3 linked regions of the Saccharomyces cerevisiae S288C genome follow. Changing the gene in region 1 together with any one later gene gives a genetic interaction. Each region holds a gene or a part of one and is shown in the gene's direction. Other genes may lie near its edges.

The links. A genetic interaction does not mean that the proteins touch.
Region 2: of PSP1 (region 1) and MYO1, extra expression of one rescues a mutant of the other (dosage rescue), as found in Saccharomyces cerevisiae (one study listed by BioGRID).
Region 3: mutations in PSP1 (region 1) and CMR1 impair growth when combined (synthetic growth defect), as found in Saccharomyces cerevisiae (2 studies listed by BioGRID, with this or other methods).

Annotation. Positions count from the first base shown.
Region 1 is NC_001136.10:1,456,091-1,461,023, reverse strand, and holds PSP1 (Psp1p), read left to right. Parts: upstream 1-1,803; coding exon 1,804-4,329; downstream 4,330-4,933. Other genes in the region: GMC1 (putative oxidoreductase), read left to right, coding at 1-1,296; SPG3 (Spg3p), read left to right, coding at 4,330-4,713. UniProt on the Saccharomyces cerevisiae protein: DNA polymerase alpha mutation suppressor.
Region 2 is NC_001140.6:149,932-157,665, forward strand, and holds MYO1 (myosin 1), read left to right. Parts: upstream 1-1,734; coding exon 1,735-7,521; downstream 7,522-7,734. Other genes in the region: YHR022C (uncharacterized protein), read right to left, coding at 1-414; YHR022C-A (uncharacterized protein), read right to left, coding at 1,286-1,375. UniProt on the Saccharomyces cerevisiae protein: Required for cell division.
Region 3 is NC_001136.10:173,148-176,986, forward strand, and holds CMR1 (Cmr1p), read left to right. Parts: upstream 1-1,770; coding exon 1,771-3,339; downstream 3,340-3,839. Other genes in the region: mitogen-activated protein kinase kinase STE7, read left to right, coding at 1-881; DMO2 (Dmo2p), read right to left, coding at 1,085-1,441; B-type cyclin CLB3, read left to right, coding at 3,626-3,839. UniProt on the Saccharomyces cerevisiae protein: DNA-binding protein that binds to both single- and double-stranded DNA. Binds preferentially to UV-damaged DNA in vitro. May be involved in DNA-metabolic processes.

The DNA of each region.
Region 1 (4,933 bases):
GTGAGAGACATAGAGACACTAGATGACGGTGTTGTTACAATGAAAAAAGATAAACACACGAAGGAATTGACGGATTATGAAGTTCAAGAAAGGATTATCACTTTGAGTGATTGGTATACCAATTGGAATTTGGACATTTTAAACGACAAGGTTTTGTCATCTACCGGGGGTACAGATCCCAAATTTGATGGATCATTAATAAATGGAAAATCATCTGACGGTGAAACTATCAAAATAGGATTTAACACCGAGTATCTTCTTTTGAGAATCGTAAACTCAGGAATGTCTGGTACTCAAGTCTTTCACCTTGATGGATTCCAATTAATTGTTCTAGAAGCCGACGGGATTATGATTAAACCGTTCATTGTACAAACGATAAATTTAGCGGTCGGACAAAGATATACAATTTTGGTCAAACTAAAGTCTGACACTAGTTTTATTCGTATGATTAATGGCTGTAACAAAATGATGGGTTATATAACAAAACAGTGGTGGTTTTACAAAGAAGGCGCTCATTTGGACCTACCAAAGAACCCCAATGACGTTTCCATCGAACACTTGCCTGGTTTCACTAAGGCCGAGCTTTATCGCGACATAGAACCAACGCAAGAAGAGAATAAAAAGTTACGCACAAAGGCTGATCCTGTTGCAGTTTTCGAATTCGATTATGCTTATTACAAAGATGAAAGCACGAAACAAAAGTATGGGACTGGGATGTATAAGGTGAACGAACGGACATTCAGCGAGTACGTAAAAGACCCGGTAAGGTTCGGATTCAACGAAACATATGATATTGTAATCAACTCACTGGACCACATGAGACACCCATGGCATATGCATGGCCATCACTTCCAGATAATATCTCTTGGCAATAAAGGTGATGGCCCATTTCACAAAGACGTACAAGAGGGCAAGGCATGGAGCCGCTATCAGAACGATTTACGTCACCTGGCCCGAACCGGAAAGGCACCGATGGTAAGGGATAGCATTAACATTGCAGGAAATTCTTACGCGGTTTTGAGAATTAACACCGAGATGCCCGGAAAATGGCTTTTACATTGTCATGTGGAGTGGCACATGATGAAGGGGCTTGGCATTGTCTTTGAGGTTCCGACAACAACCGAGGACAGTACCAAACAAGCAACTACAGCTGTATTATCGTACCCTACCAAGGAACCTGACCCTAACACTGTTGTCCATACAGCCGCACTTGAACAAAATAAGTCCAAGGTAATAGCCGTCTACATCCTAATCATGTGTGCGGTTGATGCTATCTTCTACTGGTTGCTCATGTAATCACATCCATTTCTCCCAACTCATTGCTTTTTTTCGCTTTTCCCACAGCCGTTTACAAGGCCGCAAAAAAGAAAACCCGCAAAGCTGACGGAAAAAGTATCGGCTAGCTTTCCATTGGCGACAATCGCCTCCGAGTGCGAAAACCTGTATTTCTCTGACTGCCGTAGGTCATATAGGATTGGGTCATAACGGTTTTTTGGAGACGAATCCTTCCCCTAATCGTGTTGGATAACATTACGGATCCGTGTTTTAGCTAAAGGAACAAAACAAAAATAAATAAAGGATAAGAAGAAGGATTCACTGATAATTAAGAGCTGTATTTTTCATTGGTTCGGCAGTTAGAAACAGAGATAGCATCAGTTCGAGTGTTCTTTGATATAGTAAACAGCGTATATAGAAAAGAATAAAGTGTATTGAAAGGCTCAAGAGAATTATAGAGAAAAAAACGAAGGATAAATCAAAAAAAGCGGTGTCTGATACAGTGCTCAATAGAAATACAGTTGCAAAATGGACCTCCCAACTGTTAATAGCACAACAAGCATTTCCGACAATGTGGATTTAAAGAACTACTATGAGGACTTGCTTTTCAAGAATAACAGCGGAAAATCGCTATCCGATTTACCCCGTAAACTGAATGATAACTCCAATAATTCAGGAAGTGATACGGTTGATCCGCTTGCTGGCCTGAATAATTTGAGAAACTCAATAAAAAGTGCGGGAAATGGTATGGAAAACAGGAGGACTTTTGACGATATTGATTTTATGGGTAGGTTTCCGTATTTGCCACCAGTGCCAAATCAACAACAGCAACCGTTTTCTCACCAGAACGGGTTCATTCAAGAACACCCTTCCAGTAATTTGACCTCTTTTCAAATGTCTTCGTCTAATTCAGAGCCGATGTCCGCACCGCCCATTTCATCCAATAACAATAATTTAAACTCTACTCAAATGGGTAATTATCAAGCTCAACAACGGTCGTTCCCGCAATTTAATGGAAATTCATTTCATTCAAATGGAAACGACCTAATGGGGAATCGGATGGATTCAGACTACATGCGTTTAATGAATAAAACAAACATAGGTTTTACTTCCAATAGCGGCAGCAATTTTGCTGCCCCATCACACAGTGCTGGCAACCCATCTAGTATGAACAACCAACAAGTACCATCATTTAATTGGCAACAGCCATCTCATCCAGAGTCTACCATTAGGAGATCCTCCTACATATCAGATACTCTAATCAACCATCAAATGCCTGACGCTCGGCAAAAGCAAACATCCCAAGTGCAGCAGCAACACGCTCAAGGTTTCAATCTTTTCAATAGCAGATTCAACTATGACAACTTGAACTCAACCCATTTGACCGCCAAAGGTGTGCCCGAGTTTGGAAATGGTGTACAACCTCCGTATCCTTATGATAACGAGCCTAATAATGCCAGTATCAGCAATAGTAATAACAACAACAACAGTCACAATATGGTTCCAATGCAACAGTTTCGCCGGAATACACAACCGGTAGCGAGCTTCAATCCATCCCTTCCTACTTTTCAACAACAACAGCAACAACCACAACAACCACAACAACCAAGAAACGTTAATGTACCTACTTCTTTCAATGGCGAACGTGTTGATGATGTTCAGCTTGTTCAACTTCAAAGAAGCAGTTCTGTCCCTTCTTCTACAAACTCACATAACCTTCAGAACGAGAACAGCAATGAAGGAAATGTATCTTTGGACAATGGTTTAGTTTTAATTCAGGGTAAACACTTGACTTCGTCCAAAACCTTACACGATTTATACAGCGACTGTGGCAGCGGCTATTTTGCTAGCTCTGCAGTTTTTGAATTCACAGATAATATTAAGAAAATGCTGAAGTTGCACGATTCTAATGAAAGTTACGACGCGAAGAACATGGGCTTAATCGATGAAGAAGGTAATACATACCAATCTTTATTAAATTTCTTGGACATTTTAAGAAGTTGCAACATGAATTACGTTAATGATCCAGAGTCGAATAATGGAATTGTTTCCAATAATGGAGGCAATAAAAATAGGAGGAAGGGCTCTTTCACAACAGAACTATCATGCAGGAATGCTAATAACTCCTTTTTACCTTATACACCATTGGTACTGGTTGCTTTGAAAAATGGGAAACTTGAACTACTATCTACTCCACAAGCTACCAATTTGTTGTTAAAGAGAGGTGACTTGGTTATTATTGATGGTGACCGTGGAAGGGATTTAGTATTGGTTGTTGAGCCCTCTGTCGATTTGAATTTAGCATTATTTATAAATTTTCTGAAAAAGAAAATTCACTTTGACTCTTTAATTACAAGTGAGTCACAGCACTATCGCAATGATGAGTTTATTCAAATGTTGATTGACTCAAAAAATGGGCAAAAGAAAAAATTAAATCCCAAATTGTATGATGTTGTTGAATTAACTGAGTTAATCATACCATCTAAACAAGTCTTACGTTTTGCCACCCCGTGGGAGGTAACAACGAATTTGCACAATAAATTTGAAGATGAATTAAAAGCCTTGCATATTGCTCAGAGTAAATTACAAGCGTTAAATGATAATTCAAAATCTCAAAATACAAATGACAGTTCTTCCAATAATTTTACGAATGCTGCAACTTATTCAAAGCCTAAATTGAATATCAAGATTTTAAACGCAGAATTCCAATTTGATAGAAAGAAATTAACGTTTTACTACGTTTGTGAGGAGAGAAATGATTTTAGAGACTTGATAAAAGAGCTGTTCAAATATTACAAGACAAGAATTTGGTTGTGTGCCATCCCGAATAATCTGTCTATTGATTCTAAGTATTATGATAAACAACAAAAAGAGCTGAAATTATATCAAAACATAGTAAAAAATTACAATGCTGAAGATTTAATGAATGTCAATGAGTTTTCGCAGAACAGGGGGAATAACAGAGTTAATTTTGCACCTCCGTTGAACGAAATTGAACTCGACAACTTTCAGATTGCTGTGTATGAAGAATTAGTTCACGAATTATTTCATTAAATGATCTGTTATTTCCTTGTTGTAACTATAAATTTTCTAAAAGAAAAGACAACCATTTGCCATTATTTTGTTAACATTTTTTCATTGTTTTTGTTTTTGTTTGTTTTTGTTTTTGTTTTTATTTTTGTCTACTTTTTTTATGTTATTTTGTTTTATCGTTTCTGTTCGTTGTTTACCTATTTTCCTGCCAATTCAATTTGGTACTATCTTTCTATTATCAATATTTTCTTTCCCTTATGTTTTTTTCTATATGAAAACTTCACAGGGAGAAATAGAAGAAAATGTTCATTATTCTGTTTAACTTTGATAAAAATTACTTATACGTCTCCCAATCATGGTTTCATGGTCACTGGTAAGGAAAAATTCGAAAAACTACGGGACTAAAAATTTTTTAAAGATTGTCCATATTCCTCGATCCACACTTTCAAGTTTGAGATTTATTGTTGGCAACTTTCTTACATTTTTGTTGTTTCAACTTCTATTTTATATTCTAACAGCCGCTTCCATTTATTTTTCATAGGCTTTATATAAAAAACAAAAAATAATGGAATCAACCAACCCTTATAAACTTATATGTAGTTTACATTTAATCAAGGTCTGTTAT
Region 2 (7,734 bases), on another chromosome or scaffold:
AAGGTACGAAACCTCCATTTGATTGGTATCAAAAACTTGAACATCAATACTGGTGCGTCTTTGAGCAGTCGATTTATTGGCATTGATCAGGCGCTCTTCTAGGAAATTGCCACAACTTTCATAAATTGTGCCAGAGTTTTTAGCTTTGAAACCCGCATAATTCGGCAACTGTCCTTTTACGCCAAAGGTACGATAGTATTTTACCAAAGTATCAAATTGGATTGTCTTGTGGTAGAGGTCCGAAACCCTATAACGATTAGCATCTGATATTTGAAATGAACTACCTAGCCAACTGCGAACCAGAGAAGTTTTTCCAGAATGATCATCCCCCATTACAGTAATCTTCGAAGATTTCAAGTCGAAACATCTTGGGATTGACGCAAGGCTTGCGCCGTATGATAAGCGAACACTCATAGCGTTTGACCTAATACGGTATAATTAAAAGAAAAAAAGACAAAAAAATAGGATAGCCAACACAGAGCAGAACCTTAACAATTTCTCTAGATACAATTTACATGCTCAGCGTTTCTTTATATACATTCTCCCTGTATATATTCCTTTGAAAATTTCTTAGATTTTTTTGAAATTAAATAATAAGTAACGAGCCAAGATCGTTAAGGTAAGTACTTGAAAAGGATTTTTCAAAGAAGGCAAGCATAGACGATCTCTACGACATTTTTTTTTGCCCTTGATGTTCTTATGAAAAACAACTTCTACAAGTTGTACTTATCAGAAGTGCAAAAAAAAAAAATTGTTTAGACGACAAAAATAGCGTTTAATAATCAAGGTCATGGCTTTTAAACAAAGCGTTAATCTTAATCCCTATATCTCCTCTAAAATGGACGTAGCTTTTACAAAGGGATATTACGCTTGAGTATCCCTTTTGAAGATCGTTGCACCATTACGTATTAAAGCATTTTTTTTCCTCCGTCAAGATCTTACCCGAATACTGCTGCAGGACATACAAAGCGCACTGACATGACGCAGGAAGATTGATTAGAACCGTCCGCAAAATTTTCTTTGTTACAGCATTAGTAACGCATCACCTCCTTCTCAAGCTAGGGCACTTTTAACTCATAAAGCGACACATTGCCTTTTCAAATATTGTAGCTTTTCAAATCACGCAATGGAATATTTGCAGCATTCATTGTTCCGTCAAAAGTAAAATTTATTTTTAGTACTTCAACGTGGAAGGCAAACCTTGCCTTATACCTTTACATGGATGGTTTTATGCTATTGTGAAACGAAGTCAAAAGGCTAAACAAAAAGATAAAGGAGGGGCATATTATCGGACCACCTCGTATAGCAAGAAAGGGTACTTATCAAAAGAAAAGGTCGCTGAAAATCGAGCCCCTCTTGAGAATTTGATTTTCATACATATCCCTTTTCTCTTCCGGGTTAAAGCCTTTACATAAATGTGTCATTGTATAGCATTACTTTTTTTTTGGTGTGAAAAAAAAATCGGAAAAATATTCACAGGGTAATGCTGAGATAGCTTTTCTTACCCTCCTTGGAATTTGGAATATTTCGAGATTTCATCATTTAGCCCAAAAGGGTAATTGCGTAAACATTTGTAATTTCTTGGTGTATTTGTTTTGATTGTTCATTGTTTATGACCAGCTACTTTATTCATACTCTTCCACACTACTTTTTTTTTCTTGATTACATCTCGAATCCTGCGAACTTCGTGGTTAGAAGATCATAACAAAGTTAGACAGGACAACAACAGCAATAATGACCGGCGGGCAGTCTTGCAGTTCTAATATGATCGTCTGGATACCAGATGAGAAAGAAGTTTTCGTAAAAGGGGAGCTGATGAGTACCGATATCAACAAGAATAAATTTACAGGCCAAGAAGAACAAATAGGAATTGTCCACCCGTTGGATTCCACAGAGGTTTCTAATCTAGTGCAGGTACGAATATCCGATGTATTTCCAGTTAACCCATCGACTTTTGACAAAGTAGAGAATATGTCTGAGTTAACCCATTTGAATGAGCCGTCTGTGCTTTATAACCTAGAAAAGAGGTACGATTGTGATCTAATATACACCTATTCCGGCTTATTTTTAGTGGCGATTAACCCTTATCACAATTTGAATTTATATTCTGAAGACCATATAAACTTGTACCACAACAAGCATAACAGGTTATCAAAGAGCAGATTGGATGAAAACTCCCATGAAAAACTGCCGCCGCATATATTTGCAATTGCAGAAGAAGCCTATGAGAATCTTTTATCTGAAGGAAAAGATCAATCTATTTTAGTCACTGGTGAATCCGGTGCGGGCAAGACAGAAAATACGAAAAAGATTCTACAATATCTAGCATCTATAACTTCTGGCTCTCCTTCCAATATAGCTCCTGTTAGTGGTAGTTCTATTGTAGAAAGCTTCGAAATGAAAATTCTACAAAGTAACCCTATCTTAGAGTCTTTTGGTAATGCACAGACTGTACGAAATAACAACTCTTCAAGATTCGGTAAATTCATAAAGATAGAATTTAATGAACATGGTATGATCAATGGTGCGCATATCGAGTGGTACCTTTTAGAGAAATCAAGAATTGTTCATCAAAATTCGAAAGAAAGAAATTATCATATATTTTACCAACTATTATCCGGTTTAGACGATTCTGAGTTGAAAAATCTACGCCTTAAATCTAGGAACGTAAAAGATTACAAAATTTTATCCAATTCTAACCAGGATATTATACCAGGAATCAACGACGTAGAGAATTTTAAAGAACTGCTCTCGGCATTGAATATTATTGGGTTTTCAAAAGATCAAATAAGATGGATATTTCAAGTAGTGGCAATTATTTTATTAATCGGTAACATTGAGTTCGTATCAGACAGAGCAGAACAAGCATCTTTCAAAAATGATGTTAGCGCAATTTGTAGCAATTTAGGCGTGGACGAAAAAGATTTCCAAACTGCCATATTAAGGCCTAGATCAAAAGCCGGAAAAGAGTGGGTTTCACAGTCCAAAAACTCTCAACAAGCTAAGTTCATCTTGAATGCCTTATCAAGAAATCTTTATGAGCGGTTGTTCGGATATATTGTGGATATGATTAATAAAAACTTGGACCATGGGAGTGCAACTTTGAATTACATTGGATTGTTGGATATTGCTGGTTTTGAAATATTCGAAAATAATTCCTTTGAACAATTATGCATCAACTATACAAATGAAAAATTACAGCAGTTCTTTAATAACCATATGTTTGTTTTAGAACAGAGCGAATATTTAAAGGAAAACATTCAATGGGATTATATAGATTACGGAAAAGATTTGCAACTGACGATTGATTTGATCGAAAGCAAGGGGCCACCGACCGGTGTACTACCGTTGTTGGATGAGGAAGCCGTTTTGCCCAAATCCACTGATGAGTCATTCTACTCTAAACTGATCTCAACTTGGGACCAAAACTCTTCAAAGTTTAAACGTTCAAGATTAAAAAATGGGTTCATTTTGAAACACTATGCTGGGGATGTGGAATACACTGTGGAAGGCTGGTTATCCAAAAACAAAGATCCTTTAAACGATAATCTCTTGTCTTTGTTGTCTTCTTCACAAAACGATATCATTTCAAAACTGTTCCAGCCAGAGGGCGAAAAATCTTCTAGTGCTGGTGTGGAAGCCAACATCTCCAACCAAGAAGTTAAGAAATCAGCTAGGACAAGTACCTTCAAGACTACATCATCACGCCATAGAGAACAGCAGATAACATTACTAAATCAACTAGCTTCTACCCACCCACATTTTGTTCGTTGTATAATTCCAAACAACGTGAAAAAAGTGAAAACATTTAACAGAAGGTTAATCTTAGATCAATTACGTTGTAATGGTGTGCTAGAGGGTATTAGACTTGCCAGAGAAGGTTACCCAAATAGGATAGCATTCCAAGAATTTTTCCAGCGGTATAGGATCTTGTATCCTGAAAATTCAACCACCACGACTTTCAGTTCTAAATTAAAAGCCAGTACCAAACAAAACTGTGAGTTTCTTCTAACGTCTTTGCAACTGGATACAAAAGTTTATAAAATTGGTAATACTAAACTGTTTTTCAAAGCTGGAGTATTGGCAGATTTGGAAAAACAAAAAGATGTTAAGCTGAATAATATTATGATTAAACTAACAGCAACTATACGAGGTTACACAGTAAGAAAAGAAATAACGTACCATCTACAAAAATTAAAGAAAACAAGGGTGATTGGTAATACCTTCAGATTATACAATAGACTGGTGAAGGAAGATCCTTGGTTTAATTTATTTATCAGGATCAAGCCACTTTTAACATCATCCAATGACATGACCAGAACCAAAAAATTCAACGAGCAAATTAATAAACTGAAGAACGACCTTCAAGAAATGGAATCTAAGAAGAAGTTTTTGGAAGAAAAGAACCAAAAAACTGTCAATGAGTTGGAAAATACGCAGGACTTGCTAAATCAGGAGAAAGAGAATTTAAGAAAAAATGAGAGCTTATTAAATAGAGTTAAAACCAGCTCAGAAACATTACAAAAACAATTCGATGACCTTGTTTCTGAAAAGGATGAAATTAGCAGGGAAAAACTAGAAGTTGCGCAAAATCTTGAAGAAGCTCATCAAAAAATCCAAGGCCTTCAAGAAACTATTAGAGAACGGGAGGCGACCTTAGAGAAATTACACTCAAAAAATAACGAACTAATAAAGCAAATATCAGACTTGAACTGTGACATTTCTAAGGAACAGAGCTCCCAGTCTTTAATCAAAGAATCTAAATTGAAGCTAGAAAACGAAATAAAGAGATTAAAAGATGTCATAAACTCGAAGGAGGAAGAAATAAAATCGTTCAACGATAAGTTAAGTTCCTCAGAAGAAGATCTTGACATAAAATTGGTCACTTTAGAGAAAAATTGTAACATTGCGATGTCAAGACTACAATCCCTTGTAACAGAAAATTCAGATTTGCGTTCGAAAAATGAGAATTTCAAGAAAGAAAAGGCAGCACTGAATAACCAGTTGAAAAATAAGGAAAGTGAACTGTTAAAGATGAAAGAAAAAATAGATAATCACAAAAAAGAGCTTGCTACTTTTTCCAAGCAAAGAGATGACGCAGTTAGCGAACATGGTAAAATTACTGCTGAACTAAAAGAGACAAGAATCCAACTTACCGAGTATAAATCTAACTATCAAAAGATTAAAGAAGAATATTCCAACTTCCAAAGAGAAACGAAGGAACAGGAGCAAAAGAAAAGAAATAGCCTGGTTGAGTCTCTGAACGATAGTAAAATTAAAGAATTGGAAGCTCGGTTGTCACAGGAAATATCCTTAAATCAATACTTAAACAAAAGAATATCAGGAAATTCTGTAGAAACGAATATTTCGTCTACTAGACGTTCCACATCGTATTCAGATGATCCACTTGACAAAGAAGATATAATAAAAAAATACTATGACCTTCAATTAGCGTTTACTGAAATAACTAGGAATCTAGAGAATGAAATTGAAGAGAAGAAGAACTTAATTTCTAGATTGAGATTCACTGAAACAAGACTAGCATCTTCGTCTTTTGAGGACCAAAAGATTAAGGCACAAATGAAGAAATTAAAAAAATTGATCCAGGATATGGACCCTAGTATTCCTTTGGACAGTATTCTAAATGAGCCGCTAGATAACTGCCCTGACAAAGAGTCTGATATTAACAAATTAATGCTTGAGGTCGATTATTTAAAAAGACAATTGGATATCGAAACAAGAGCTCACTACGATGCAGAAAATGCCATATCTGCTTTACACAGTAAATTTAGAAAGATCCAAGGGGAAAGCTCCCTGTCATCTTCTGATATTTACAAACTGAAGTTCGAAGCCAGTGAAGAAAGAGTCAAATCCTTGGAAGACAAGCTAAAAACCATGCCTTTACGTGATCGAACAAATTTACCTGTCGGAGATATTATAAAGAACCGTGATAGCATTTCAAAATATGAAGAAGAAATTCGCTATTATAAACTTGAAAACTACAAGCTCCAAGAAATATTAAATGAATCAAATGGAAAATTGAGCCAACTCACTCTTGACTTGAGGCAATCAAAATCCAAAGAAGCCCTACTTAGTGAACAATTAGACAGATTACAGAAAGACCTTGAATCTACGGAACGCCAAAAAGAACTACTATCATCCACAATAAAACAGCAGAAACAGCAATTTGAAAACTGCATGGACGATCTGCAAGGGAATGAACTGCGGCTAAGAGAACATATTCATGCACTAAAACAAGCTGAAGAGGACGTAAAGAATATGGCGTCTATCATTGAAAAATTGAAAACTCAAAATAAGCAAAAGGAAAAGTTAATCTGGGAGCGCGAAATGGAAAGAAATGACTCAGATATGCAATTACAGGAAACTCTGCTGGAGTTGAAGAGAGTCCAAGATGTAAAGAAAATCCTGAGTGATGATTTGGCCCATTTAAAGGAGCGATTGAGCGCTGTAGAAGATAGATCCCAATATACGGATGAGATTAATAGATTAAAGGAAGAATTGAACTGCTCTTTAAAAGCTGAAACAAACTTAAAAAAAGAATTTGCAACCCTTAAGTACAAACTGGAAACTTCGACTAATGATTCTGAAGCAAAAATCTCCGATCTGCTGAAGCAGCTCGATCATTATACAAAAGTGGTGGAAATGTTGAACAACGAAAAAGATGCTATTTCTCTTGCAGAAAAAGAACTTTATCAGAAATACGAGGCACTCAATACTGAATGCGAGTCTCTTAAAGGAAAGATAGTGTCTTTGACTAAAATCAAGCAGGAACTGGAATCTGACTTAAATCAAAAGACTGATGCGCTACAGATATCAAACGCAGCACTCTCAAGTTCCACACAAAAGAATAAAGAGATTACTGAAAAAATCAAATATCTGGAGGAAACACTACAACTGCAAATGGAACAAAATTCAAGGAATGGGGAGTTGGTTAAGACATTACAGGCCAGCTGCAATGGATATAAAGATAAGTTTGATGATGAGAAGCAGAAGAATATTGATTTATATGAAGAAAATCAAACTTTACAAAAGCTCAACACCGACTTACAGCTTCAACTAAAAAATTTGCATGAAAGATTATCAGACACTACTGAAAAAAACGCATGGTTATCAAAGATTCATGAATTGGAAAATATGGTAAGCCTAGAAACGGACTTGAAATATGAAGAAATGAAAAAGAACAAGAGTTTGGAGAGAGCAGTGGAAGAGTTACAAACTAAGAACTCCCAACAAACAGATGTAATAGAACTAGCGAATAAAAATAGAAGCGAATTTGAGGAAGCTACTTTGAAATATGAGGCTCAAATCTCTGACTTAGAAAAGTACATTTCTCAACAAGAGCTTGAGATGAAAAAATCCATTAGAGATAATTCTTCTTACCGCGACAAAGTGCAGGAAATGGCCCAAGAAATTGAATTCTGGAAAAGCCGTTATGAATCTACCATGATAGGCTCGAAAAATATTGATAGTAACAATGCACAGAGTAAAATTTTCAGTTAACGAACTTTTTTTTAAAAATTTGGAAGACTTTATATCCTTTATTTAAAAAAATAATGATGAGATGTTTTGTATATACAGAATGAGAATATGCATTATTAACAGAAAAAGACGACACGAGCGTTATATACTAAGTGGCATGAACTCTTTCACCCCGTATCCTTCGATAGTAGTCTTAAAGGTGGTACATAAAATAAAGAAAATAACCGATTCAAT
Region 3 (3,839 bases), 1.3 Mb from region 1:
CTGTGGAACAGAATAACAGTACAATCATCAACCAATTAGTTAGGGAATTATCTATCGTCAAAAACGTTAAGCCCCATGAAAACATTATCACCTTCTATGGAGCTTATTATAACCAGCATATAAATAATGAAATCATAATTTTAATGGAATACTCTGATTGTGGTTCTTTAGATAAAATACTGTCCGTTTATAAAAGGTTTGTTCAAAGAGGGACTGTTTCGAGTAAGAAAACCTGGTTCAACGAATTAACAATATCAAAAATAGCGTATGGCGTACTAAATGGCTTGGATCATTTGTACCGACAATATAAGATCATTCATCGTGATATCAAGCCTTCCAATGTTCTGATTAATAGTAAGGGGCAGATTAAGTTATGTGATTTTGGAGTTTCCAAAAAACTAATAAATTCTATCGCTGATACATTTGTTGGAACGTCCACTTATATGTCACCAGAGAGGATACAAGGAAACGTTTATTCTATCAAAGGGGACGTTTGGTCATTGGGCTTAATGATCATCGAGCTGGTAACTGGAGAGTTTCCCCTAGGTGGGCATAACGATACACCTGATGGCATATTGGATTTGCTGCAACGTATTGTCAACGAGCCTTCACCAAGATTACCCAAAGACCGTATCTATTCCAAGGAAATGACAGATTTTGTCAATAGGTGTTGTATTAAGAATGAAAGGGAAAGGTCATCGATTCATGAATTGCTACATCATGATCTTATAATGAAATACGTATCACCGTCTAAAGATGATAAATTTAGACATTGGTGTAGAAAAATAAAATCTAAAATAAAGGAAGACAAGAGAATTAAAAGAGAAGCCTTGGACCGTGCCAAGTTAGAAAAGAAACAATCGGAAAGATCAACCCATTGAATGCATGCGATAACATTAGTTAGGAACATATTGCACTTTTTTTCACATCCCTTTCTCAAAGCTATATTCATATATATATAGACTCTCCTGATTATGTAAATCACAAACCAATTTTCTAATGTAACAATATTTTTAAAAATAATCATCAAAGTAGCACTTTATGTACAGAAAATTTCACGATTGAGAGAAGCTTGCGAATAATACTAGTTAGCCTGTGTTTCACCATCGTTACTTAATTTCTTATAGTTCTTATATTCTTTATTTTTATGCCACAACCAACCTTCGGTTCCTCTAACGAAACCGAAGGCGATTAATAACCCACCGAAGCTACGTAAAGTTACTTTCCACCATTGTGGGTTTCTTTTTTCAAATTCAGTCAGAGAAATGCCTCTTTTGGCTTCTTTTTTACCATACTTGAATGGTTTCCCAGATGCCAAGTATGAGCCAAATCCAACAGAAAACATAGTGCTCATGACTTGACAAGGAACGCAATCCATAGTCTCTTCTTTTTCCAGCTCCCTTTGTGGTGGAGGGTTGAACACTGCCAAAATATTACTCATTGTTTTTCACCACTTGCTGTTTCTCTCTAAGCGGTGTTTTGTTTCCTACTTGGTGGCACACAATGACTGTACTCGCTTTATATGCTCGTACCTTTTTTCAAAAGCCCATCGTTAATTTTTCACCCGAGGACCCCATATTACGCGTTTTTTGTTAATGTTCAATTTCTGACATGTTACAATTATAATAACGCCAAAAGAGGTAAATGTATATTTGAACAATTGTTAAAGAGAAGATAAAAACCCTTTAATCTTGCATTTGTCGTCAATAGTACACAATAGGCGATCTATTTTAGTACGGCAATTAAAAGAAAGCTGCTTTTCAGTCAAGAATGCCGGAATTAACAGAATTTCAGAAAAAACGTTTAGAGAACATCAAAAGGAATAACGATTTATTGAAAAAACTCCATTTGTCTGGAGTAGCATCTCAAATTAAGCACGAGGCTGGGGTGTTGGAAAAATCTAGAGCTCCTGCAAAAAAGAAACAAAAAACAACTAATACCAGAGCAACCAAGTCTGCGAGTCCCACTTTACCTACACGAAGATCAAGAAGGCTAAGGGGTGAGTCTGCAGACGATGTGAAAGGAATACCCAATGTGAACGATAATCAGTTGCTTAAAATGGGTTCTCCAGATGGCCAGGATAAGAATTTTATAGACGCAATAAAGGAGAAACCTGTAATAGGAGATGTGAAATTAAGTGATCTGATCAAGGATGAAGACGAAAGTGCCCTTTTAGAGAAATTCAAGAGGTTTAATAACGGAAACTTTTCTTCTGGTGATTTCTTTGAAGAAATAAAAAAGAGACAGGGTGACGTTACGGGGATGGACGAATTTGATTTGGATCTATATGACGTTTTTCAACCGAACGAAATTAAGATTACATACGAAAGAATCTCTGCCACTTACTTCCATCCTGCTATGGAAAAAAAGCTAATAATTGCAGGTGATACAAGCGGTACTGTGGGTTTTTGGAACGTTAGAGATGAACCACTAGCTGACAGCGAAGAGGACCGAATGGAAGAACCCGATATCACCAGAGTGAAACTATTTACCAAAAACGTCGGCCGTATTGATTGCTTCCCTGCGGACACATCGAAGATATTGCTCACCTCTTACGACGGAAGCATCAGGTCAGTTCACTTGAATAACTTACAGAGTGAAGAGGTTCTCACCTTGAAAAATGAATATGACGATTCACTGGGTATCAGCGATTGCCAGTTTAGCTACGAAAACCCAAATGTTTTATTCCTCACCACATTAGGTGGTGAATTCACCACGTTTGACACAAGAGTAAAAAAATCAGAGTATAATCTGCGAAGACTCGCAGACAAGAAGATCGGGTCTATGGCAATAAATCCCATGAGACCCTACGAGATTGCCACCGGATCACTTGATAGAACACTCAAAATCTGGGATACAAGAAACCTTGTTAAAAAGCCAGAGTGGTCACAATATGAAGACTATCCCAGTCATGAAATTGTCTCCACATATGACTCAAGATTGAGCGTCTCTGCAGTTTCTTACTCACCGACAGATGGCACCTTAGTGTGCAATGGCTATGACGATACCATCCGCTTATTCGATGTCAAGAGTAGGGATCACCTTTCTGCGAAGTTGGAGCCCAAACTAACGATTCAGCACAATTGCCAAACAGGAAGATGGACAAGCATCCTCAAGGCCAGGTTCAAGCCGAACAAGAATGTTTTTGCAATAGCTAACATGAAGCGCGCCATCGACATATACAACAGCGAAGGCCAGCAACTGGCTCACCTACCCACAGCTACTGTCCCAGCTGTAATTAGTTGGCACCCGCTGCGAAACTGGATTGCAGGTGGTAATTCTAGCGGCAAAATATTCCTCTTTACTGATGACTCCGGAACCATAAAGCAGGAAGAATGAAAACATCTCAGTTACCCGCACTGCCTTTTTTCTCTCCCGCTTTTCAGCAGAACGAGGCGACAAGCGAAGGAACAAAACAAAACAAAAGAAAACAAAAATATTGAAATGCAAGAACATGGACACATAAAAACATTTTTGATCCGGTCGAAAGAAAACGATCAGAAATTTTTAGCTGCTTGCTTAGAAGAAAAGAAAAGAAAATTGCAGAGAAAAAGCTATTTATTGTTTCTGTCCTTCGCTTTAAAACATAGAGATATTTTGTCCTTTTTATCATTGCTTATTATAAATGCATCATAACTCACAGTCTTTGAGCTCTGGACACATCAGGAGCCCCGAGGATGAAAATGTGGCACCTATAGGTAATCTTAAACACAGGACTGGATCCCTCAGTCATATTTCATCTGCGCACCCGAGGGTCGCACTTAGCGACGTTACCAATATAGTTGCGACAAACTCTAGCAACAACAGCATAAGTAAGCCAAAAGTCGCCCCAATTAAAG